Schizosaccharomyces pombe: one gene and its partners. The gene in region 2 interacts genetically with the main gene of each other region. Each region holds a gene or a part of one and is shown on either strand. Other genes may lie near its edges.

Region 1 (8,442 bases), on a different chromosome or scaffold from region 2:
GGCGCACCCAACACGTTAAAATAATAAAGTGCACGCTCAGTTACCTTATAACTAGACCAACCTTTTAGTAATGTTCAGCATTTGCAATGCAAGTCTGCTTTAGTATTAATGAACTACTACTTCATTTAAATTATAGTTAAAGATAAGGAAAGTTGATATTTTTCATTCAACCATTAATCATAATCAAGGTCCGTGCATTTGTTAACGGTAAACTGTTGAACATGTGAAAATTATATATATTTACTTTAAGCCTTTGTTCTCATTGGGTTTAAAAAAGCAACTAAAATACATTAGGAAGAAAAAATGAAAGAGCAACAGGATGTAAGAAATAAATTTACATTTTCACTAGCTTAACAATGAGAAAACACAAACAGCCAATTTTTTACGCGTCTGCTACGTGATTGAAATGGTAGTTAGAAATGTATCTGAACTCTTCACCATTAGATATTTACATTGTGCATAAATTTAATTATCCAGAAAAAAATCAGCTTAATACTCTTATTAATTCACTGACTTAAAAATTACTAAGTTTTGTTTGGAGTATTTAAAAATTGCTGCACAAGTTAATCGACAAAGTAAATATAAAAATTCAACTTACCGGTAAATATGTTGACACAAGAGCCGCGATACCCATACTGATCAAATGTTAACATCCATAGAACTACATTAATGCAATGAATTAGGATTACTTACAAAGCCATTGAAGTCGGAGATGAGCTGGGAGACGTATTTGCGTTCAGTAAATTTGAAAAGGTTAGGATAAAAGCAACCCATGCAATTAATCTTCTCGTTAACATGAAAATCCTAAAATATCTTACATACTTGAAACGAAGAAATAAAGCAGCCATACACGTGGCTGTGCTTACCAAACTCAAGCCAACTATAATAGGGTTAGCAAACTTAATAAATTATTTGACGAAAGAAAGGATTTAAAATATTCCACAATGAACTAAAGCTTGAGCGATTAAATCAGCGTAACTCACGATTGGGTTCAATTTGAAAGTGCTTTCTACTTTACCTTCTTCATTTGCTTTGACTCTAGCTTTGTAGGGAACGATTAAATCAGGTCGTTTAAGTTCTGCAGGCGCCATATTTTATGAATTTTCGTTGTCGAGACTTCAGAACTGGTGAATGGGATGGTTCCTCTACAAGAATATAATGAAGTTAGTAATAAAATGTGTAAAATGGTTTTAGGTTAGGTTATTTAGCATTCAAATATATCGTGGGGGTTAAGAGTTCTTATCCCACTAAGAATTTCAACTATTTTAGACTTGGCTAAGCATTAGAATTAAAATCGATTGCAGTACCACGTGGGGGCTTTAGCAAGTCATAGGAGGAAACTGATCCTACTTGGCGAGTGAGAAATGGATTTCTTTTAGCATTCTAAGTCTTCTATATAACAATTTAAAGCTCAAACATAATATAATATTATTTATACTATTTTAAAAATTTAGGAACCAAGCCAGGTGAACTTAAGAAGTTCAAAGAGCATTTAATCGTTAGATGAAATAATAAAAAAAAAAATTACACTCGTTCACTCGTTTTCAATTTTACGAATAGGTTTGGCAGGTGATCCTACAGCCAACGTATTAGGTGGGATGTCTTTTGTAACAACAGCACCCGCTCCAATTACACTGCCTTCCCCGATAGTAACACCTGGGAGAACTATAACTCCCATACCAATCCAAACATTGTCCTGAATCTTGATAAAATTTTGTTTGTTAGTTGTAAGATGTTTCAATAACTGGACTAACGCATACGTTAATTGGTAAACCAAATTCAATTCCGGAGTTCCTTGCTTTAAAATCCAAGGGATGTGTTGCTGTACATAGTTGAACCTGGAAAGACACCATTAGTATATTTATTTTTTGAATGAATGACTTGAAAGTAACTATATATATATATAAACATACATTGGGGCCTAGCATTACATTATTACCAATAGTAATTATGGCAACATCTAGAAATGTACAATTATAATTTGCAAAGAATTTTTTTCCAAAATGAACGTTAAATCCGTAATCAAAAGCCATAGGTGGCTCAATCTCTGGTGCTGAAGATTCGTCAAATACAAAAACTTCAGCCAACAGTTCAGCTCGTCTTTTAATCAATTCTGCTGGGCCTACATTTTCCAAATCTCCCATAGTGTCATTAAACCTTCGCATTAATTTTTTAGCATTACATCTCGCTTGAGTCAACTCCTCGTCGTAAGCCTTGTACCTGTTATTTAGTAATTAGAATATCTCCCTGCGTTCAATGTGACTTCAAACATGTCAACGAAGATGATATATTAGCTCGACAAGTTTTAAGCATTAGCCTTACGGTTGACCAGATATCATTTTTTGGTATTCAATGGTTTTCGGTATCATTTTTTGTACACGAGTACGAGTCATTTCTGTCGGAAAACAAGTATATTCACTAGCATTGACAATGGGACTAGTAGAGTTATCGATGTATAAATAGACTTATATATATATATATATATGTATTGATATCAATATTAACAAATTGCTGATAAAACTATACGGAAACTTTTTAGTGAAATAGTTTGTAAAACGTAAGTAAAAACATCTCGATGATATATAGCGTCAGCTGTTACACTACATTATGCCCCACTATGCAACATATCATTAATTGTCGCATTGCTTTATGTCTGGCCCCTACTCGTATTACCACCAGCATACCAAAATTTATCAAGTTACAAGTAAATAGTTAGTGTAGCTTAACAAACGCTGAGGGCCGTAAACTGACAAGCAATAACAAGATATGCAATGAACGTTGTCCGTCCCTTTTTTAATCTTGCTTTCCTCCTGTATCATTAAACTGATTAAACTGGGTAGTAATCCCAAACTAATGTCATATAAAAAAAAAATTCAAAACAACTTAAATAGTACATCAAACAAAAATTGATAAGTAAATAAGCAATAAATATGATTTAAAAATAAATCCAAAGTGTATTTATTAATCGCCCTTGAAGTGTAAATGGCATATCGTGTCAGATTAAATGCTCAATTTCTGACGGCTTCGGTTTGCTGCGCTTAAACATTTTGCTTTAGTGTTAATAAATTTCAACTATGGGATTTTTTCATCCTTCTTCATGATAACTAGATTATATGAAAAAAGCATCTTTAAGACAACCAACAATGTTTTAATATCAGTAAAGTGCGTCAAATTTCGCATCATTAAACAAATAATGTCACTTATGATTAACTGAGTCATTAGCAAATGAAATGTGAATTTACGGGTTAAATACTATCATAACTTTTAATTAATACTTATCAAGATAAAACTCACTGTAATAATGTCTTACAAAGGTCGGTAAACAATCTAATTAAACAAGGATCAGATAATAAATTGATTAAACACAAATTTTAATTTTTTTATATTGATATATAAAAACGGTTAACAAATTTTTCCATCAATAAAAAAAAAATGAATTACACTACGTTTCAAAGTTATAACTATTTTTTTATAACAAACATCAACTGAAAAGCAAGAAAATCTATATTCAAAAAAATAATATAAACGCTACAAAAAATCAAACAGTAAAGGGTTTCGAATTGCTTTTCTCTATAATTCAAATGAATTTCAAAATAATTGGGACAAGTTGCCAACACACACGCCATACTAATTTTGTGATACTTGCTCAACCAAAAATATGTAGCACCACATTCTCTATTTAAAGATTAGCGCAGCACAAGGAGCCGCTCGATAAAAGTGCTGCTACAAACGTTCAAGAACACAAGTTTATTCTTGTACCACAATTCAAGTGTTGCTATTGTTGTAAAAGGGCGTATATCAATCGGATTCAGTTTTTGCAATAAGTCTGACTGAAAAAAAAAATGGCGTCAGTGGAGGATGCCACGAAAGTTCAAGAAATGCTGGATGCGTTGAAGGCTGAATACAATGCTTTGGCTCATCATAGCTTCGCGTCCAAGGCGCGCGGAAACGACTATGAATCTTCTAGTACGTGTTTGAATAAAATAAATTAAATTAGCTATTTTTTGGAAACTAACATTCTGTTCTATTGCAGTGATACAATCTCAAATTCAAGAAATTGAAGCGTTCCGAAAAACCGTGGATGATATGTATGAAAAACAAAAATCTATTAGAGAAACGTAAGTTTTTATATGTTAAAGGTATCGAGGGATTATATAGTATCTACTTCTTTTCTGTGAAATTCATCATTATTTTATAATAGCATACGTGTCGCTCGAGATTTATATGCTTGAAGTAAAAAAAAAAAAACCTTTATAACATCTGTCTTCACCAATTTACTAACATTTATAGGTACGAAAAAGATATCAACAAGTTGAAGCGAGAGCTTGAAGAATTAGGTGTCGAAGCGAATACCGCAAGTTATAGAAATCGTGGAGAAAGATCTGAACTTGCCGCTTCTAATAATCAAGTTACCCATATTGATCAGGAACATCCCTCTCAAACCAAATCTACTTCTCAGCCTCCAAGTAACCATCTACCTGCCTTTCAGCAAATCCCTCCAATTCACCAATCAGCTTATCCTCAAAATAATGTTGCTGAAGTATTGATGCCTCCAATTCCTCCTTCAGTAGAGGCTTCTAGCGGGCAAAATTTTAATCAGGGAATTGCTTCTCAAAATCCCGCGATATCTACATCCAATTTACCTAGTACTACACCTTTATATATCCCTCCTGTTAATTACGGAGCAAATCAGGTTTCTCAACAACCAAATCCTCAATTGCCTGGTGTTTCCAATTATTATAATCCAAGTGCTACTTCAAAACCTGCTGTGAATGTCCAGCCACCGCGTATTCCTACCAAAGCAACTCCTTCGGCTGAACCTTCTATGACTGCTTCTGCGAATGCTGGTTCTATATCCCAAGCGGGTCCTGATGGAGAATATCAGGGAAGAGAACAGATTGCTCCAGTTTCAGATACAGAAGCTGCTAGAAAGACAACTTCTCAGAGTTGGTACGTCACTTATAACCCAGCATGCAAAAGGGTTTTTAATATTAATCTCGTGCACACACTAGAGCATCCCAGTGTTGTTTGCTGCGTTAAGTTTAGTAACAATGGCAAGTATTTAGCAACTGGCTGTAACCAGGCCGCTAATGTCTTTGATGTTCAGACTGGCAAAAAACTTTTTACTTTGCATGAAGAATCACCTGATCCTTCCCGTGATTTGTATGTGAGAACCATTGCTTTCAGCCCTGATGGTAAGTATTTAGTCACGGGAACAGAAGATCGTCAAATAAAACTCTGGGATCTCTCAACTCAAAAAGTTCGTTACGTATTTTCAGGTCATGAACAAGATATCTATTCCTTAGATTTTAGCCATAATGGGCGATTCATCGTCTCTGGTAGTGGCGATCGAACTGCACGACTCTGGGATGTGGAGACAGGTCAATGTATTTTAAAGTTAGAAATTGAGAATGGTGTGACGGCAATAGCCATCTCTCCAAATGATCAATTCATTGCAGTTGGTAGTCTAGATCAGATAATTCGAGTATGGTCTGTGTCGGGTACTTTGGTTGAACGATTGGAAGGTCATAAGGAGAGTGTTTATTCTATTGCCTTTTCGCCCGACAGCAGCATTCTTCTTAGTGGAAGTCTTGATAAGACTATCAAAGTCTGGGAATTACAAGCAACTCGTTCAGTTGGCCTTTCAGCTATTAAGCCTGAAGGTATTTGCAAAGCCACCTATACAGGACATACTGATTTTGTTCTTTCAGTAGCTGTTTCACCCGACAGCCGTTGGGGATTAAGCGGATCGAAGGATAGAAGTATGCAATTCTGGGATTTGCAAACAGGCCAATCTTATCTCACTTGTCAAGGACACAAGAATTCAGTTATTTCCGTATGCTTTAGCCCAGATGGTAGGCAATTTGCTTCGGGAAGTGGTGATTTACGTGCTCGCATATGGTCAATTGACCCTGCATCTCCTTGAATTTTTGTTCCTGTTTACATATAACTATTTGCTCTCGGAAATAGTTAACCGCATTGATTTTTGGTTACAAAGTTTACAAACTAAATTTTGTAAACTCTATTACTACACTGGTATATTTCCTTAATTTGTATCATATTTTTTTTGCAATATTATTTCCTTTACTTACGGTCACAATAGACAAATCATCACTCAGTTTTTTAATGTCACTAATTTTGGAGAATGGCTTCTCTCATAAATTAACTGAGACACTTTTTATTTAAAAAATAAACAATTAATAAAAAATTCCTTAATTTTTAATTTTAGTTCTATGATAAATGTTGCATAACTTGAGATAATACTTAATACTTTTCAATGTAGATTCTTGAAATACATGTGGTTGATTAAACATTTTTTAAATGGTTATTCTTGTATTTAGTAATTTGCATATCTCCACCTTGACTCCGAAATTCACCAACAGATTTATCATATACTCGCTAAAATTATGTATGTATTAACCATCTTCTGACTTCTTCAACGCGAAGAAGACTCATTGTTTCGATTTTATTGACTAAAACATAGAAATTGAATAAATCCTAATCGATGCTATATTGAGGTGTGCTTTTACAATCCGTTACAGTTCGATATCTGCACGTTTCTTAAGGCTATCTTTTCAGGAGTTTATAATAATCCTCCACGGCTTAAGCAGTCTATAATTTGGGTTTACTTCATTAAATCTTTAATTTAGCACTTTTTAAATATATTTAAAATCTTAATACTTAAATCGGTGCCAACCCAGGACCTATATTACGTTTGGGTTAAAGAAAAATTGTCGTTGTTTGCTGCATCGATTTATATCTAAGCTATGAAGGCTTTGGATATAGACACGATTCTCACCCAAATATCGAATCAACAGTCATTGGATAAACGCTACAAACGCATAAAAAGGCTCATCAACAATGAGCAGTTTTGTAAAAATGTAATCCTACAAAAACTTGTTGATTCCACTAAAGACATTATTGAAAATAAAGTTCACGGAAACATACTGGCAGCCACTATTTCCTTATGGACTCATGCAGCTGAAAAGCATAAAGAAATGTCTTCCGATGACCGTGCACTATTATTCAACGAGCTGTCAAAGGTTCCGAATTCTGAATACTATCCTGCTACTGTAGACGCCTTGATTGTTATTACATCCCAAGGCGAAAGAACTGAGTCTTTTTCAAATGACATACTTAAAGTTTTGTCTGAATGGTTGACTGATTTATTTACGATTATTGATGATATGCGAGCTCAGTCGAGAAAATCCTTCAAAGGAAGTGCTGAATTGAGAAATTACACCCGTTGTTTTCGTCAGATAATTCTCTTGCTTACGAATATGTTCAGGGTGGGCTTTAATTTATTTGATGAAATGGAGGTTTCTTCTATGCTAGCGAATTGTGTGTGGGTCTCAAAAAGCACCACCGATGAAGAAGACATTGCATTAGTTTTTTCGTTATTAAATTGTATTATATCCTATGGTCGCATATCTTCCGCTGTTTTGTATTCTATTGTTGAAGTAGTATGTCGAGCAAAATTTGGCTTAGTCGCAAGCTCACAATCAGCTCAGCAGATTGTTGAGAAACTGTTGAAGACAGCGACCAAGTACGAAGCACTTAATTCCCTAAAACGGATAATGGAAGAGACAGATGAAGGTTCTTATATAGCGATTATGGGTGGTATTCAAATCGTGAGTGCTCTCTTTACCGATATCCCTAGATCAGTGTATTGCACTAGAGGAATGCTGCTTGGATTCCTTCAAAGATCCTTAAAGAATAAATCTAGTCGAATAGCTTTAGAAACCACTCGTTCTTTATATAATGCTTTGGAGCGCCGTTCTTTTGTTGAAGTGCTTTATGCAGATGAATGGATCAGCCTTTTAGATTTGCTTGTTGAAATATCTTCATCACTTCCTAAATCTCTCAATTACCGACCTGGAACTTGGCAGCACATTGAGCCTAATATAATTGAGTCTATTGCATCGTATCAATTACAACATCTTCTTTTATTTAACGAAATTTTAAAACCAGACTCTAATCATTTTGTTCTAGAGAAGTTTCATGAGTTCCTGAAAATTAATTTTTCATATTTAACCCCTACACTTAGCCAAAAGTTGTTTACTGTTCTTGATTTACGATCACAGTTGCCATATTCGGAAGGATGGCTTGAGGATCAAACAATTCTACTTAAATCTTATTTTGATACTAGTTTTTCTTTGGATTTCCATGTCTACTTAATTGGTCTCTTTAGAAAAGTTCTATTTGCTTGTCCAGTTGAACTTCGCCCTGAAGTGTATGCTCGAATGCTTTGTCCCTTAGTGAAAAGTTTGGATAAATCTAGTTCCGAAGTTATAATTGATGAAGTTATTTCCTTAGTTTGTGATTTATCTTGGATATATCCATCGAATGTATTTCACGAGGTGAAAGACTCATTATGCTTTTATGCTCATAACAGCAGTAATGGGGATTTACAACTTAGATCTATTCAGGCAATAGTAAGCT
Region 2 (9,597 bases):
ATAGAGGATCAGTGGGGATAAACTTGAATTGCACAGATAGCTCGCCAGCAAATTGGAACTCATTTTTTAGTTCATACCATTCACTTTGTAACTCTTCTTTCATCGCTTTCTCAAAAGACAATACAGTATCACCAATCAAGTGTGGATGCTTTCGAAATCCCTCGTGAAAAACGGTTATTTTCATAATATGATAAGATTCACTGGGAATGTTAAACTCCAGTACCGCATTCCACGATGGTTCTTGACCGCTTCTCTTATCCGTTTGCGTACGTTTTACCACCTCACCAACTCTGCAAACGCAGTAAGGGCTTTGTTTGCCCACTAGAGCCTTGTTTGGTAAATTTTTCTAAAGAAGACACGTTAGTTTTACAAAACAAATCTTCATCTTTTAAGACTTACAGCTTTCCATATTCGGACAACCAACGTTCCAAGAGGATTCTTTGACATATGGTAGATGGAGAAACGGGTTATAAACAAAAAAGCTACTTTATACAATTCGAGTGCGGATTTTAAGCAGTGCAGCGCAACTTCTGTAGGAGGGGGCTGGTTTGTCTCCGATAACGGGGGTTAGCTTTCGTTCATTCATTTAACGTAGCTTACTGCAATTTAAAATGCTTTAACGGAAATTTGTGTACGCTACGATATTGATGGCTCCAGTTAGGAAATTCGTGAAGAAAGATGCCGTGTTAAAAAAAATTAAAAATTAACAAAAAAAAAAAAAAAAAAAGAGAGACGAAAGTTATCGCAAACAAAAAGAACTTTATTAATATAACTAATTGCATTAATGATTGACTCAGTACACACCACACAAATATATTCACTTAATTTTAATTGTTTTAAAATGAGTGTAAAATATCTATTGGTATAACCAATTCCATCACAATTGCTAATTGAATGGAATGATTTGCATAAAATGTTTCTAACTTAATTTTTTTATTCTTTTATGTTTCACGAATACAAATTTATTTTGTTTTTAAAAAACTTCATTTTCTTTGCTTATCTTTTGGGTAGTTTTCGGATCCGTAATCCCAACAAAATGCCAACCCGTATTGACTAATAAGTTCCCGAAAATGTAAGCAAAAGATTTCATTGTAAAACAAATGAATTAGCTATTAAAACTGTTATTTAAATGTTGTAAGGGTTGGTATGTTATATATACAATCTAAGTCTATGTAAAGACTTTTTGAAAGATCCTACTGTACAGAATTCTCCATAATTGAATTCGTGACAAGTACTCATAATATTTGAAACTTGTATATTATTTCTGCGTATAACCTATCTTTATTTTTATTTTAATTTTATTTTTTACTTTATTTTATTTTATTTTATTTTATTTTTTCGTAGGTCTTCTGGAACTGCTGGATCTATTCATACATTGCTAATTACTCAGCGTACGTACACATCTTACAAACACGCAGAAGTCCAACCTAAAACACTTACCTACATACAACATAATATCAGAAATACACGCAACGATTTAGCTTCATCAAAGATATATTATTTATTCATTCATCGGTTAATATAAAATAAGCTTGAGTTAAGAGTGAAATAAGATTCATGGCACTATACACAAACTCACCATTTTTACTACATATTGCTAACATCATATTTGCTTAAAAAGCACGCACTCCATGATATACCAATAACATCCTACTTTCCGTCCATCCTTTCCCATTCCCCAAACTATCGATACGTTTCTTAACGATACGATAACACAAAATACAAAACTACACAGCAGTACTTTAAGTATCGTCTTGCTCGGTTTATTCCAGACCCATTTCCTTGTTACCCTTCTTCAGAGCCCCGCACGTGATTGGTTAAGTTCAATCATGCAAAGTGATGCAATGACGTCATCTGTTTGAAACAGGTGGAAGTGTGGCACTAGGAATTTACAACTTACCCTTTACTTACAACATAAGAAGAAAGAAACTACTTAGGAAATTGCTAAAAAGTTTACTTTGAGCACTTTTTGAACGATTGAATTGACGAAAACCATTTTTCTGTTTGTAAATTTCAGTTTGGACAGTTGACCGAGTCTTTTCATCATTTATACAGTAGTCATCGCTTAGTTGGATCTGAATTACGAATTCTCTGGTTCATGACGACGACCTGCTACTAGTACGTTTGGTTGATTAAGTCAAATAGGTATGTGTTTATACATGCAATTGTGAAGTTTGATTATGTAAAAGGCTGTAAAATTGGAAGAGCGTGATAAAAACGTGACGGGTTGTGTTGAAAACCGAATTTTTATGAAAATTTGAAAATTTGCTCCTATCGTCATTGACCCTACTAAACATGACGAGTATGACGCTTTCTTATCAATAACACTGATCGTTATGGGGTTGTTAGTTTACAGGAAACGTAAAATGTGTTTGGAATTCCTTCGTTTTTTGAGGGTTTGGAAATTTTTTTTTGGTGTTGTTGTGCTAGAAAATTTTACTTGTTACCATTGTAGGTTACTATTGCCTTGACTGAACTGGGATCTATGTGGTGGCAACTTTTGATGAATGATTTCTCGGAAGTGAATAAACGCACACGGGAAGAGAACAAGAGTAGAAAGGAAGCTAGAAGAGCGGAAAACCCGTTTTGTCTCGTTTTTGGCAAAAAAATTTCCAAAAAAGAAAAACGGGTGTTTTAGCAGGTGTATTTGCTGTTGAAGTACGAATCTCTTTATTACTCTACGCTTGACTGTACTCTCTCACATTAAGTTCTGAAACTCATTCAAAAAAGGCCTCCACATTCATATAATCCAAATCAACACACCCTAACAAAAACGATCGAACGAAGAAAAGGAAAAGAACAAAGAGTAGGAACATCCCTTTTATCTTTTGTAATTCTTTATTAGTTTCTTTGTTATTTTATTTGGACATGTTCTTTTACAAACTTGACTATTACCTTTGCGAGTTTTTTTTTACCCTTTGTAGAATATCTTCCTTCACAATCTTGCATATCTAGTCTTCTAGCTTTGCCTGTACAGACATCTAACTAATTCTCGTCTAGAGCCTCCGTCGCGGTTTTCCCTTTTTTTTTCGAGAAAGTTGTATTTTTATCTCCTTAATCTCCTCCTCCTTTTTTTTTCTTTTCTTTTTTATTGAAACAATATAGTTTCTATTTTTTCTGCTTTATCAGCCGTTATTACTTCTGTCTTGTCAAATTTGGAAAGCCATTAATTTCTTGTAGTTGTTTTTTTATTTAGTTTTGACAAAACTATTTTCGATCTTCTCTTTAAACGGGTTCATCTATATATCTAAATTATTTATTTTCGTTATTTAAGCGTGTGTGATTTTTAACGTCATCTCTTAATACATTTTGTCAAGTGTTAAAGCATAAATTCTTCAATTATGTCCCCGTCTCCCGTCAATACTTCCACAGAACCAGCATCTGTTGCCGCTGTTTCAAATGGTAATGCTACTGCTTCCAGTACTCAGGTTCCGGAAAACAATCAATCTGATTCATTTGCACCACCAAGCAACAATTCTCAGCAGAATCAACAGTCTTCAACTATCGCTCCTAATGGAGGGGCCGGATCTGTCGCTAATGCGAATCCAGCTGACCAATCCGATGGTGTAACTCCGTCTTTCGTAGGCTCCTTGAAGCTGGATTACGAACCCAACCCCTTTGAGCATTCATTTGGCTCTACCGCTTCGGTTGGACAAGGAAATCCTTCTCTTAATCGTAATCCTAGCCTTAGTAACATTCCTTCAGGTGTGCCTCCTGCGTTTGCGCGAACTCTCTTACCTCCTGTTTCTTCCATAGCATCACCTGATATCTTAAGTGGAGCTCCAGGTATTGCCTCGCCGTTGGGCTATCCTGCTTGGTCTGCTTTTACTCGTGGTACAATGCATAATCCCCTTTCTCCTGCTATTTATGATGCTACTCTTCGTCCTGACTACCTAAACAATCCTTCAGATGCATCTGCAGCAGCTAGATTTTCTAGTGGAACTGGATTTACTCCTGGTGTTAATGAACCCTTCCGATCTCTTTTAACCCCTACTGGAGCTGGATTTCCCGCTCCTTCACCTGGTACTGCCAATTTATTAGGGTTTCATACGTTTGATTCTCAATTTCCTGATCAATATCGTTTTACCCCAAGGGATGGTAAACCGCCTGTTGTAAATGGGACGAATGGTGACCAGTCTGATTATTTCGGTGCCAATGCTGCGGTTCATGGGTTATGCTTACTCTCCCAGGTTCCCGATCAGCAGCAAAAGCTTCAGCAACCCATCTCCTCTGAAAACGATCAAGCAGCATCCACCACTGCCAACAACCTCCTGAAGCAAACTCAGCAACAGACTTTCCCCGACTCTATCCGGCCATCTTTTACTCAAAATACTAACCCCCAAGCTGTTACAGGTACAATGAACCCTCAAGCATCTCGTACTCAGCAACAGCCTATGTACTTTATGGGGTCGCAACAATTTAACGGCATGCCATCTGTTTACGGCGATACAGTTAATCCTGCCGACCCTTCATTAACATTACGCCAAACCACGGACTTTTCCGGACAAAATGCCGAGAATGGATCCACAAATCTACCGCAAAAAACTTCTAATTCTGATATGCCAACGGCAAATTCGATGCCGGTCAAACTCGAAAATGGTACTGACTATTCCACTTCGCAAGAGCCTTCTAGTAATGCCAATAATCAATCCTCACCCACTTCTTCCATTAATGGTAAGGCTTCTAGTGAATCTGCCAACGGCACTTCGTATAGCAAAGGTTCATCTCGCCGGAATTCCAAAAACGAAACTGATGAAGAGAAACGTAAAAGCTTCCTGGAACGCAATCGACAAGCTGCTCTTAAATGTAGACAGCGTAAAAAACAATGGCTTTCTAATCTTCAAGCGAAGGTTGAATTTTATGGTAATGAAAATGAAATTTTAAGTGCACAAGTCAGTGCATTACGTGAGGAAATTGTGAGTTTGAAGACCTTATTGATTGCTCATAAAGACTGCCCAGTGGCCAAGAGTAATTCGGCTGCTGTTGCAACAAGTGTCATCGGAAGCGGTGATCTTGCTCAAAGAATCAATTTAGGGTACTAGACTGTTTTTGATCTGAAAAGGTCTCAGTCTGTGATGGTTGTAATGAAGAATAACGTTTTTACTTCCCTTTGACTTTCCCTCCGTTGAGGGTTGTAACGCCCTTTTCCATGCATTTAGCTATGTTATGGATGTGAAATTATATATGTTTATTTTACATTAAAAAATCTTTAGGCTTCTCTTTTTATATTTCTTCCCGTTTTCCATTACTGTTTTAATTTTGCACTGAACGCCGTCCCGCATGCATACTTTTAGTACTTTATGAAGTGATAAAATTTGTCTGTCGTGTCTAGTTCACTATAATATCGTTTGGACAACAAAAACTACACGCTTTCTTAATGTTTACCATTCATCACATGTGGCAGAGTTATAGAATACTACTTATAACTCATTCTTATGAGATTGATTTGATTTAATAATTAAAACTATATTATTTAGTAAGAATCAGCAGTGTTTTTAATAACAACTGATTACTGTTTTCCTTTAATGTAAGAAATCAACAAGTCTTAGTGTATTGTGGGAGTATTAATATCGTGAACAGTATATAAATCAAGTTAATGAATAGGTTTGTCATCGGTCATTTACATATCTATTATCATACGAACATGCATTCATAAGATGAAATCAAGTTAAAATTTGCACCTTCACAATATTTACTTTACTTAGTGAGTGTTTGTCGCTACATTGAGGATGTATACAAAAAGTGAAAATGAAATTACTGATGTTCACATTACAAAACGTATATAAAAATGCAAACGTTTGTTTCAATTTAGAACGAACTATTCAATTCTAACAACAATTAATAAAAAATAACAAATTAGAAAGCTTAATAAACATGAGATAAACTTGTTGAACGATTGATTAAACACAAATCTAATCATGCAACGTAAAAAAAAATAGACAACAATCAATCATCCAAAAATATATATTGCATAGATGTTGAATATTCAAACACTAAAAGAAAGTGTAGACATAATTAATTCACGAAGCTTTAGTATACAAATCAATGCTTATAATTTTTATCATTTGTTAAAAGATGGAAAAAAAAAACAAAGAAAAAAATACAGCATTGATTTTACCATTCGGCGGGACCAAAGAATTCACCTGCTGACTCATTGACGAGTTTCCTAACAGCGGCACCTGTAGCATCCAGCGTATTAAAGGCACCATCATTACCCCACCAATCTGGGAAATTAACCATAGGCAACTGTAAGCAAAAGAAAAGTATAATGACCGACAACTGCGTACCAGTATCAAGAGCAGCAGAAAGCGTGAAATTGTATTTCTGCCACCAGTCTGCGAATATCTTCTTCAGATAATAATTGAAGAACAGACCAATTCCAGACCAAGCCAGATAGTTTACAGGAGTAGCTGGGGGAATATAACCAGTACCTCCAAAAATTAGCGGGCCATTCAATTGACCCCACCATTTTTGAGGCCATTTCTTCCATAGAGCCCAGAACAAAATTGTACCCAGCACGCCAGCGAGCCAGAAGTACTGCAATCCCGTATAGGTGTTTTTTCCAGAAAACATTCTCTTGGGACCAATTACACCCCAAATAACGGAAGAATTAAAAAAGACAGTTGCATTAGGACAAGTGTAATTATCAGGTTGATCGGCCTGGCAAACATTATCAATATTACCCAAAGCCCAATCCAATACGCCGATCTGAACAAAGCAAGACCATATGGTGGCAATCATTTGGGTGTAAAACATGATTCTGGGAGGAAGCTTCATGTAATGACCAAACTTCAGATCGGCAGCGAAAGCCAATCCCTGAGTCATTGTAATATAACCGACAGTCTTGAAAATCATCATGGCCAAAGGACGACCAGGATACATATAACCAACGATAAACTCGGTGAATACATTCAAGCCTAGCTGGATGTTGGTTATAGCTTGAACGATGCCAATTGGAATGAACCATACAGCAGAGAAAATGACACCGACAATGATAACCCACCAAGGGGTTTCCGTTTTCCAACCATAAATAGTACCCATCATCATGCCGAAAAAGGCCAAGAAAACACTCAAATACCAATAGAAGGGAACTTCATCATAGGCTTTCATGAGTTTTTCATGGATATCAGGTGCGGGTGGATCGCGTAACCTGTCGTAGATCTCTTTTCCATGGTATAGGATCACGTGGAAAATGACAGAAGTGATGGAAGCGAAGGAAAGGCCAAATGCCAAAGCGTAGGTGGTGGACATGAAAATGGGAGAATAGTTTTGATAGGCATCCAAATCAAACGTAGCATCCTTGGTGAGGATGCGAGTAACGTTATAGCTATTACCAAAGTGATCGATAATACCAGAACTACTGATCGGTAGGTAATCACCATACCACGTGTTGGTAAAGTTAAGGGCTGGAGTGACGATCCAAAAGAATAGAATGACGCCCAAAAGAATGTTCATCAAAGCATCGGCAGGAGCCATGAGGGGGGAAAGAATGTATGCGGAAATTTGATTCCAATCAAAAGTCATGGGAAGGATGGAGATTCCGGTGGATTCACCAAAGATTTGATTTACAGTTGGACTATTAGGACGAATCCAAGTGACCCAAGCAAATAGGGAAAGGGCTTGGAAAATGTAGGAAGGGAACCAATTCCAAATGAATGAAGCAATAAAAACGTACAAAAAGAAACGGAAGGGGGAAATTCTCCAGCCATTGGCAACGGCGTTTCGTAAGTCTTTGCGATGTAAAGTCTTGATCAAGGTGCATTGAACGAGATTCACAGGCCACAACATACTAGCAGGACGGACCAAAAGTCTTCTGGATAAACCAGCCAATCCGTATCCGATAAGTTGAGTGGCCAAAGTCAAACAGATTTCGTAGCCAAAGCCGAAGCGCTGTTTGTAGTGTACACGTTGGGCGAGGATGATATCGGTGGAGTAGGCATTACCAAACGATACACTCGACATAACGACGATGAGAGCATGTTCTTTAACGTTAAAGGGACCAGGCTTAAAATTAAACTTTAAACGTCCAATGCGAAATTCGCGATCGGGGAAAATCAAGTCCCAAATCTGTAATGCTGGGTATGCGAGAAGCTCGGAAATCAAAACACTCAAAGTGACGGTTGGGTTTCGAAGGGAAAAGAACATGTTGACGGCGGCACCAACGGTGGAATAGATGAGACCAATGGTCCACATGCGAATGGTGTTGCATGGCATACTTGGATCATCGGTAGGAGGGACGGCGGCACGAACCTCTGGATAAGGAGAGTCTTCCTCAAACTCGTCAACCGTACTAATTTCACCATGTTCGACATCGAGAAAGGACTTTGTGTCTTTCTTGATGTCTTTGGATAAACTGTCATCGGAATGGCTAACGATGTAATCAGAGATGTCGACGGAGTCGGCCTTTTCCTTTGTAGAGGGGGAGTCATTCATATGCTCCTCGATGGGAGACTCATTGATGGAACCGATCATTATGGGAAGAAGGGAGGAGAATCAAGAGAGAGAGAGAGAGAGAGAGAGAAAAAAAAAAAGTCAAACTTGATTCACCAAAAAAATAAAAAGAAACAAACCAAAAATGGTTGAGAGAGAGAAATACTAGAAAAAGTTTTTGCTTAGTTTTCGAAAGAGAGGAAACAAGATTTTCCAAATAGAATTGACGAGAGACGAAACGAAAATGATGTATTTATGAAACGAAACGAAACGAACAGTGCGATACGATAAAGAAATCACAAAAAAATCACTACGAAACTTCACGGTGATTGAAGAAACGAGCAATGGATGGGATTTGGAAAAAGAGCAAAGTGTTTAATACTTCTTCATCAATAAAATTCGTGAAGGAAGAAAAACACCTTTATGTTTTTATGGAATCAACGTCCACGTATGTAGAGATAAAAATGTATACAAGATGGTTTTTATAGACTGTACAAAAATAGTATAGTCTAGAATAGAATAGTATAGTATAGTATAGTAAAGTAGAGTAGAGTATAGTCTAGTACAGCAACAATAACAATTTAGTTTTTGTTTTTTCTTTAACTTTCCTTTTCTTTTTATGTTACAATGGTTTCCAAACTTTTAGTATCTTGGAGCGGGCGGGGGGATTTAGCTGCCGAAAAACGTGCAAACAATAATCGATGTTAATTTGTTCAACTTTTATTTTGAGTTGACACATGGAGGGATTTTCACCTCTATATATAAAAGGGAAAAAAGGTGCGGCATTTGATTTTTTCCACTCGTAATCAATTCATTGCTCTTTCTTCCTTCCATGATAACCAACCCTTTCGCTCATTGTGTGTGAAATATGAATCAGAGATAAAGTCCTTATTACATAAATGGGATGCAGGAGATGACCAGTCAGTTCTATTCTATCTTGATAAAAGTCGTACTGTTGTCATGAAGGGGTCAGGGGCGGCAAAGCTTGACGATGGAGAGAGAGGAAGAAAGCACAATCGACAAAGTAGAACTGATAAGCAAAGCAAAGCAGAATTGACAAAGCAAAACGGAATTGAAAAAAGCACAGATGATGAGGATTCAAAGGGATGTAAAGCTGAAGAAAAGAAAAGAAAAAAAAAAGAAAAGGAAAAAAAAGAGGATTTGTTT
Region 3 (8,411 bases), on a different chromosome or scaffold from region 2:
CATTCGAGAAACAAAAGGGAAAGATGGAGTCTCCAAGATTTCTAACATTTTAGCCAGTGTTTCTTGAATAGGCACAGCATCCCTTAAGTCATAATAATAATAAAAAAGACGAATTAATGTACTCGTGGCAAGTCTGCGAACAGTAACAGAGCTCGTGTCGGAAATTAGCTGTTGAAAAATATGATCGATACAATCCTTAAGTCCCGGGTTTTGAAAATTGACAGACAAGAAAAACAACATATTATATACAGGAGAAACAACACAATCATCAGATTCCTTAGAAAAGCTTTCAATTACTGGAAAAAGGAATTTCGAACACAAAATGGGGGCCGAATTTTCATCAGCAACAGAGCAAGCATCTTCCACAAGCTTAAATAAAAGAGCTCGATCTTCAAGATCAAATGTTTTGCATTGGTAAATACCAAGTAAAAATTCAAGGTTGAATACCCAATATTGATTGCAAGGAAATATAAGATTGTAAGTCTCAAAAAGACGTAAAAGTTTTTTTCGAATTTTCGGCTTTAACACTGGAAGAACATCCTTCAAAAAGAATACCAGCTTAACCTGAAATTGTTGCAGCAGTGGAATCAAGGCTTCGAAATCCAAAAAATCCAAAACACGATCATATATATTAGCAAATGCTGCAGTCTTCGAAAATGCTTCCTTCGATGTACTAGCTTTCAAAGGTAGATATTGTGAACAATACATTAAAATATTAAGAATCCGATGCCAATCCAAAAAATTAAGGCGATTTAATATAGAAGGTGTACGTAAAAAAAGATACACAGTACCAAGGATCTCAAAATCAACATTCTCATTAAATCCTAATGGAAACTCAGTAAATTCAATACTTGAACTTAAAGTTATAGAAGCTATTGCATCATTTTTCACTTCTTGCAGCATGAGAAAACGCATTAAACGCACAGCGCCCCGTACAGCATTAACATTCGAGCGATTGTATTGAAGTATATTAAATACGTTTTCAAAAGCCAGATTTGACACGGGACTACTAATAAGATTAAATATAACAGATTGTGCAAGTTTCGAATATGAGTAGGTGCTGATGTATGTGCTACACAAAATAAGAACAGTATCATACAGTGAAGCTTTTGGAATAACCGAGTAGCGAATCATGGAATCAAAAAACATCAGAACCTCAGTAACCACATCTTCTAAGCGAGCGTGATTACATATTTGTACCACGGAATTAACAAGCTGTAGCATTTGAGGTTCAGGCACTAGGAACCACTGAAATTTTACTAAGTTGGTAGAAAACTTAAAAAGGCTTTTAAAAAAAAGCAAATGTACGAGCTTTGAATCTGCGTCTTTGCCTTGCAATTCAGTTGCTTGAGATTGCCATTGAAGATACTGGTTAAACCATGCACTCAACAAAGGACCAACCCTATTCTCAATACCGGAGATTTTGTGCCCTTCATCCGTTAAAACACTCAAACTCTTAAGCCGAAGCTGTAATTCAGCAATATCTTGAAAAGGATCTTTCTCAATAGTTTGAAAAAAAGTGTGGCGCTCTATAATCGAGAGATGCTTTTGTGTAGAAACATATCTCATCATAAGATTGTATACAAGCTCCCGAAAAGCAGCATTATCGTTTTTGGTGGAGATAAAATCCTGAATATTTTGCCATACTTGAATGATAGAAGTCGATGAATATATATAGTATTTTAAGCCATGGTAAATACTCCTTACAATCTGATGCCTTTTTTTAAAAGGAAGGTTAGCATCAAAATATGATAGAATGTCTGTATCTTTGATAGCAGGCTCACTAGAAAGATCCAAAAGTGATTTATTGTTCATCTATGTGGCCTTTATTTTTCAACGTCAATAAATTAGGACCTTCAGCAGAATAACCACATAAAGCAAATCTGAACTCTTAACTTAATGGAATATTCAAGATCATAAACTATGAGCATGGAAGTTGATTTCAAGTATTAGCTACACTGGTAGGGGTGGGGAGGAGAGCTGACAGGCTGCTATGAATTAGGGGAAGCATTACCTTATCTAAGAGGAATAGGTTGAAACGACATTAAAACTAATAAATAGAAACTTAGTATTCGACATTCAAAATTCAAAAAATATATGAAGTTATTTAACCGTAAAAACCAATTGCTAAGTAGCTAGGTCGCGCAAACATATACATAACTTGAAGGGTCTATTAAATATATACAAAAGTTGGGATTTAATAGTTAATGAAATACTATGGATAAAATCAGAGTTTCGGTTGTCGGGGATTGTATGGAAGTATCAAAAATTAAAAAAAGGGAATTGAAATGATTCAAGAATTAGCAAAAACATCTGGTCGGCTTGACTTGATAGAAAAATTCCGACCAAAATAAGCCGCAAGTTTGAAGGGTTACAAAATCGGTTATGAATTTTTATAAAATAAAGGAAAAAAGACTTGCCAAGAAGCGAGTCTCACAATGGTCAATGGGCATTATTGGCAAATGAAGAATTAAAAAATTAAGTAGGTTTCGGACATTGTCATTCAATGCTATAAATGAAACATCGCTAGTTCTTACAGATCCTCATAAGACCAAATTCTTGCTCGTAAGTCACCACTACCAGTAGCAAAGCAATGGCCATTCGGGCTAACAGCAACCGATATTACTGAGTTATTGTGTCCCTGGAGAGTTAACTGAGAATGAGGAGAATCGGGGGACCAAAATTGGATGGTTCGGTCTTTCGAGCCGCTAATAATCCATTTTCCATCCGGAGAGACAGTGACACTTAGAATAAAATCTTTATGTCCAGTAAAAGTTTGCTTGCAAATACCGCCTTCCTTATACATGCTGGGTGCAACGTTGGAGACGCATTGCAACTCCCATAACTTAATTGTGTTATCCAAACTTCCACTAACCAGGTATTTTCCGTCAGGAGAGAAGGCAACGCTGTAAACACTCTCTTCATGACCATGAAGCTGCTCTACTAAAGTTCCGGACGATGTCCAAATCCTAATTACCTTATCTAAAGAACCTGCAGCAATAAATTGACCGTCGGGAGAAAACATTACTGTAGTAACACCATCATCGGTATGCAAAATTAGTTTTTGCTCGCCAGCTTCAACATCCCAAAGACAAACAGTTCTATCTCCACTACCAGAAACCAATGTTTTTCCATCTTTGCTAAAATCAAGGGAATAAATTTCTTGCTCATGCCCAGTCAGTAGACGATAAACACGTTTTTGAGCGATGTCCCATATTCTGATTTGTTGATCTTCGACACCAGTAGCAAGGTATTTACCATCAGGACTAAATGCTACACTGCGAACATATAAATCACCTTCACGCTTCGAAGATTCCTCCTGCAGAAGCGTAATTAATTTACCGGTCTCCACATTAAAAACCATAGCTGCTCTGTTACAACCCGTAGCCAAAAATTTTCCATCGGCACTAAACCTTACATAACAAATAACGCTTGTGTGTTCCAGTGTATGAAGTAGTTGAACAGAGATCGGGGGTTCTTTGTTAGGTACATTGCTAGTGACAGTCCAATCTTTCTCCTCTCTATTAGGCACATTGGATGTCGGAATAATTTCAGCAGGATAAGGAGGATTACCTGAGACTTTTCCGTTTACAACCAAAGGAGCAGCGATAGGTGTGACGGAAGAATTAGCTGAGTCAGATGGAGGTGGAGGATGTCCGAGCGGTAAATTGGAAGGAAATGCTGTGAATGGTAAGTAAGAAAATCCAAATTAAAACGAGGAAGCAAAATAGTTTCGGCAATAGTATTTTGTTTTACAAAAAATGAACAAAAGCCGCAAGGAATTCAAACGAATTAATGACAGCATTAAAAAATTGTCTGGGAACATACGGTGTACAACATACCAGATGCAAACAATAAAGTGAAAGACAAAAAGTATCTATAAACTTGATCAAGTCAAAAAACAAATGCTGTTGCCAAAAGCTACAATGCAAGCTTGAACTTACTTCGCATAGCAGATCCAGCCATGGTTGCACCCACAGCAGGGCGTACATGAGGACTGGAATAATATTGTGAACCAAGATCTACGTTCGAGGTCTGAATAGGAGCTAAAACAGTACCATCTGAATCAATGGCAGGTGATCGAAGATTTTTAGGAGTTCCTCCAGAAGAACCGTTATTAAGTATCAAAGGTTTCGAGGAGTTGTCCGAGTTAAAAGGGCCCGCATTTCCATATTTTCCAAAAGAAACGCTATTGCGCCCGTGTTTAGTTTTCGAAGACTGTGGGACGACGCCAGAAGCAATTTCTTTGCGTCTAGCTTCCAGTTGAGCTTTTAAGGAGGTGATTTCTTCTTCGTAACTAGAGAGAGTTAGTAACAAGAAAGATAGCTTTCGAGAAAATATAATATAAAATTGAGAATAAATGTTCACATAGCAGAAGGCATGCTGGTGCTGACAAAAGTGTGAAAAGGACAGAGAATCTTCGAACAGTGATAAACATCCAAATACTGAGTAAAAAACGAAATACCCTTCATCGGAGTAAAAATATGAAAAGATTACTTAATAGAATTTACTCCCATCAAAGGAGCCACCATTATTTAGCATCTTTAAAGATTTATCGTCAACGACCGTAAATTGTATAAATATTTAGAGAGGAATCGCTTTTGTAAGACTCTACAACACTCACAATAATTGCATAACCTTGTACTAATATAACAAACCTTCTCGCCAAGCGTGTATTAGGAAAATTGACATACCGATCCTTCACTTTAGACTGCTGCATCTCCAAATCCATAACGGTTTGTTTCATGAGCGCCATTTCATTAATTTGTGCAGATATCATTGCTAATTTAAGAAGTGTTAGATTTGTACCGCAAATTTGTCAGCAAATTCTTGTATAAGATACCTTTATATTCAAAATCATCCTTTTGAGCTTCAACGGTTTTAGTTTTTTGACAAATATCTTCAAATTCCTTTTTAACCGCTTCTAAAAGCTCATTTACACGTGATGATACATTGGACGTCGCCATAAATTGAAACTTGAAGATGGTAAAAGTGAATTGGCGGACAGTAATCATGAATGATGTTGTTTGAGAAATAACGAGAAATAACATTCGTTAATTTCGGTAAAACCTTCTCGGCTTCGAAGCTAAAGTAAGCAAACTATGTTGAGATTAACATGTCAGGAAAGACAATTTCACTTATGCTTAGCGAGACAATATTGTTGAATTAGTAATTTGGCTGTTCATTCAACTTGCCGCAGTTGGAAAATGTAAAATCATTAATTTGTGATGAAACCTCGTAAAACATATTTTTTAACGTTAATCGATTGAAACCCTTTTTGAATTAGTTCGTGAAATATCTTAACTCTAAAACCTTGAAAATCTTTAGATAGAAGATCCTTTTTTTTTTTTTTTGGGAAGAATATGAAGCGTTTTGATACAATTGGTAATAAAACATTATTTGGTATTGGTTTTTATTGGAAGTTTAGTTTTACAAAAGTGTAGATGTCATAATCCTAATATGAATTCTTAAAGTCAATCAAGAAAACTATTTTATGGGTATTTTGAAACAAACTTACTTTAAGGATGAATTCCATAGAAGTTAACGTAATTTAATTTCATCTTGATAGTGAATAACTTTGAAAACACTATATGCTATTTCCAGAAACTAGTCTCGAATTTTCATACGCCATAGACGGCCTGCTCCTCAGCCCATTGACTTAATTTACTATGATACACTTCCTAGATTTATTGAAAGGGTTTGTTTGCTTGGCATAAATATTCATTTAGTATGCTACTCGCAAAAACTTCAATTTTAAAGCCGCTTTGAAGAATAAGTTATTGCTGGTGGAAAAAGCTATCCTAGAGCATCTGAAAACTACCACTAACATGAACAGAATGTAAAGCAAATAGTACAAAAACAGATATTGAGCTGTGCAGTAAACACATAAAAAAAACATTACTTGAATGGAATGTTTTTACTTATATATGGCACATATAACAAGAGTTGGATAAAAGGATTAATACATAACGTTAAGACATTTAAAAAAAAAAAAGAAAAAAAACCTCACAAAACTTAATATTCGTAAGAATTTTTTTGTAATCATGACAAGGAGCCGCGTTCTTTTGAAAGTGGTTCAGTAAAAAGCATCGTTTGGTTGTTAATGGGATAAGGATTCGTACGTGCCGAAATTCGATTGTGATTTCCATTTAATGAAGAATAATGACAGAATCGATTTCCCGAAGTACGCATTGGTAAAGAAGCAGATGAAGGTATGATAGGAACAGATCCTCGACGCATATTCGAGAGTGGAGGAATTGGAACCTTGGGTAAACGACCACCAGAAGCGTGGTTTTCAGCAGCTAAAGGATTTTTACCTTTCGCAGTGGCGGCATAGTGGTCATAATGACCTCCATGCGGAGTCGACATAGCGGAATAAGCGCTTGACTGAATGGCATTGCCCATACTCTCCATTGACACGGCCTGTTGAGCATAAAGCGGGTTTTGAGAGGCCAGTTCTGAGTTTGAATTAGTTACATGATAACCCATATTCTGGTTCCAAGAGGTGGATAAGTTTTTTGGGATAGAATTGGAAATAAAAGAGTAATTTTCATTGACATCGGGTTGCGTGTCAGACGTTAAAAATTGTTTGGAAGCAGCAAGAGACATGTTATAGGAAGATTGGTCAATTGAATCAGTGTTAGAAGACGGCTGTTTTGGCTGCAAATACTGTGATTTTTGGTCGACATAAGGACCTTCTCCGTAATCGAACAGAGCTTGAGATGGTGATGTGAATTGAATTAAATTCAAATTAACAAATGAATTATTAGCATTGGGATTCACAGGGTTAAAGGCTAATCCGGATGGATTATAAACATCATTCATATACTGTGGAAGAGTCTGTAAAAAGTTTGGGTAGGAATGACGAGCAGCCATCTTTATCGGAGGCTGCTCAATATTTTCATTTAAGGCATTGTTTGAAATTGACTGCAAAGCCGAAAATTGCTGCTGTTGTTGAAAAGATGAAAGATTAGACTGATTCCTAGATATTGCAGAAGAGAGAGAAGAGGACTCTACACCAGAAATCGGAGAGGTAGAAAGAGTAAGACCCTGAAAATGGTAAGGATCAATCTCAGCAGTGGAGGAAGAGAAGAAAGGGTTATAAGGAAAAGACGGAAGAGTTCGCTTTTCTAGCGTACTCAATTGAGAAATCTTTTCAGATTCCGCAGCCTCAACCAAAGGAGGAATACGGAAGCTTTTGTACTCTAATAGATCTTTTGAAATGGTTAACTGTTGAAACAAATTGAACGAGCTGGGCGTTTGAAGTTTCCCATTGAGCACGTCTTCTGGGGTATAATAAGATATGAGATGGTGAAGCCGACCATCAATCATTAAAGAGATAGTTTTTTTAATCAGGCCACTCTTTTTAAAACCGTAAGAGTCGGTGAGTGAGCCCACCAAGGCTCTTTCGGTATCATGGAGATAGGAAAGGGAAGAGGAGGAACAGTAATGGATGGATGAAGTGGAAGAAATGGATTCACGCCTGGTCTGAGGGGCCCTGGGATTTATGGGCGCGGAAGAAGTGGAAGCATTGGAAACATTGGTGGTGGATGGAGATGAGGACGGGGGAGACTTGGGGACAAAGGGGGTACCAGTCGGTTTGGAGGAAACAAGGGGCAACGAAGAAAAGGAAGACGGGAACGCAGCACTTGTGGTGGGACTAGTAGGGGAAAGCACATATTCATTTTTAACAGCGGCAAATTCGGATTTGATGTCATTGGAGCCAGGGGAGGAAGGATTCTGCTGAGAAGAGGCAGAAAAAGAAGAACCTGGAAAAAGGTTGTCACTAAGCGAAGGAGCAGACGGAGAACTAATATTGACGTGGGAAGCAACGTCAACGTCGACAGGAACAGAAACGGTAAAAGCGGAAACCTCCTCTTCGTCGCTGTCGGAGCGAGACTTTGAGCTTCGCTTACGATCGGAAACGGAATTCTTCTTGCAAAGTTGCCTGTACACTAAAAAGTTGCCAATGACCCTGGAAGGAGACCAGGCGATACCATCGGTCCAGCGTTTTATACCGGACTGAACCTCATCAAAGACAAACACACTTCCCGAACGAATGAGACGTTCGCGCTCACGATCTTGGGGACGACGGTCGACAAAGTGTGTATAGTTTTGACGACAAGCCTCAAAGAGCAAGAGTGCATCGACAGTAGTGCCAATGAAACCGACAAATGTCGGTTGAAGATTGCCAGGTTCGGTCATGAAAAAGGAAAGAAACGAGGCAAAAGAAAAAGAAATGTATAATATGGAATAAGTGAGAAGCAATGGATGCCAAAGAAAAGAAAGAAAATAAAAACGAACAATTACTAGATCTTAAATGGCAAGGCAATGTTTCGATAAACAACCCAAAAAGAAAAAAAAATGAAAAACAATAACAACAACAACAGAAAGGGGGTAAGAAAAACTCA

The links. Genes that interact genetically often act in the same process or in processes that back each other up.
Region 1: of atf1 (region 2) and tup11, changing one suppresses a phenotype caused by changing the other (phenotypic suppression), as found in Schizosaccharomyces pombe (2 studies listed by BioGRID).
Region 3: of atf1 (region 2) and tup12, changing one suppresses a phenotype caused by changing the other (phenotypic suppression), as found in Schizosaccharomyces pombe (2 studies listed by BioGRID).

Annotation. Positions count from the first base shown.
Region 1 is NC_003424.3:297,112-305,553, reverse strand, and holds tup11 (transcriptional corepressor Tup11), read left to right. Parts: upstream 1-3,757; 5' UTR 3,758-3,842; coding exon 3,843-3,966; intron 3,967-4,033; coding exon 4,034-4,118; intron 4,119-4,142; exon of another isoform or gene 4,143-4,290; coding exon 4,291-5,926; 3' UTR 5,927-6,276; downstream 6,277-8,442. Other genes in the region: protein pat10, read right to left, coding at 525-554, 599-635, 694-783, 823-880, 1,019-1,091; SPOM_SPAC18B11.09C (serine O-acetyltransferase activity), read right to left, coding at 1,535-1,702, 1,761-1,838, 1,914-2,220, 2,323-2,393; SPOM_SPAC18B11.11 (GTPase-activating protein), read left to right, coding at 6,768-8,442.
Region 2 is NC_003423.3:1,544,320-1,553,916, forward strand, and holds atf1 (Atf-CREB family transcription factor Atf1), read left to right. Parts: upstream 1-1,897; 5' UTR 1,898-2,145; exon of another isoform or gene 2,146-2,541; intron 2,542-3,000; 5' UTR 3,001-3,341; coding exon 3,342-5,042; 3' UTR 5,043-5,543; downstream 5,544-9,597. Other genes in the region: contractile ring-membrane anchor Fic1, read right to left, coding at 1-346, 400-447; plasma membrane OPT oligopeptide transmembrane transporter family Isp4, read right to left, coding at 6,115-8,472.
Region 3 is NC_003424.3:372,150-380,560, forward strand, and holds tup12 (transcriptional corepressor Tup12), read right to left. Parts: upstream 4,989-8,411; 5' UTR 4,968-4,988; coding exon 4,844-4,967; intron 4,783-4,843; coding exon 4,695-4,782; intron 4,298-4,694; coding exon 3,945-4,297; intron 3,682-3,944; coding exon 2,534-3,681; 3' UTR 2,167-2,533; downstream 1-2,166. Other genes in the region: Rheb GAP, tuberin Tsc2, read right to left, coding at 1-1,815; gluconate transmembrane transporter inducer Gti1, read right to left, coding at 6,043-8,205. UniProt on the Schizosaccharomyces pombe protein: Transcriptional repressor.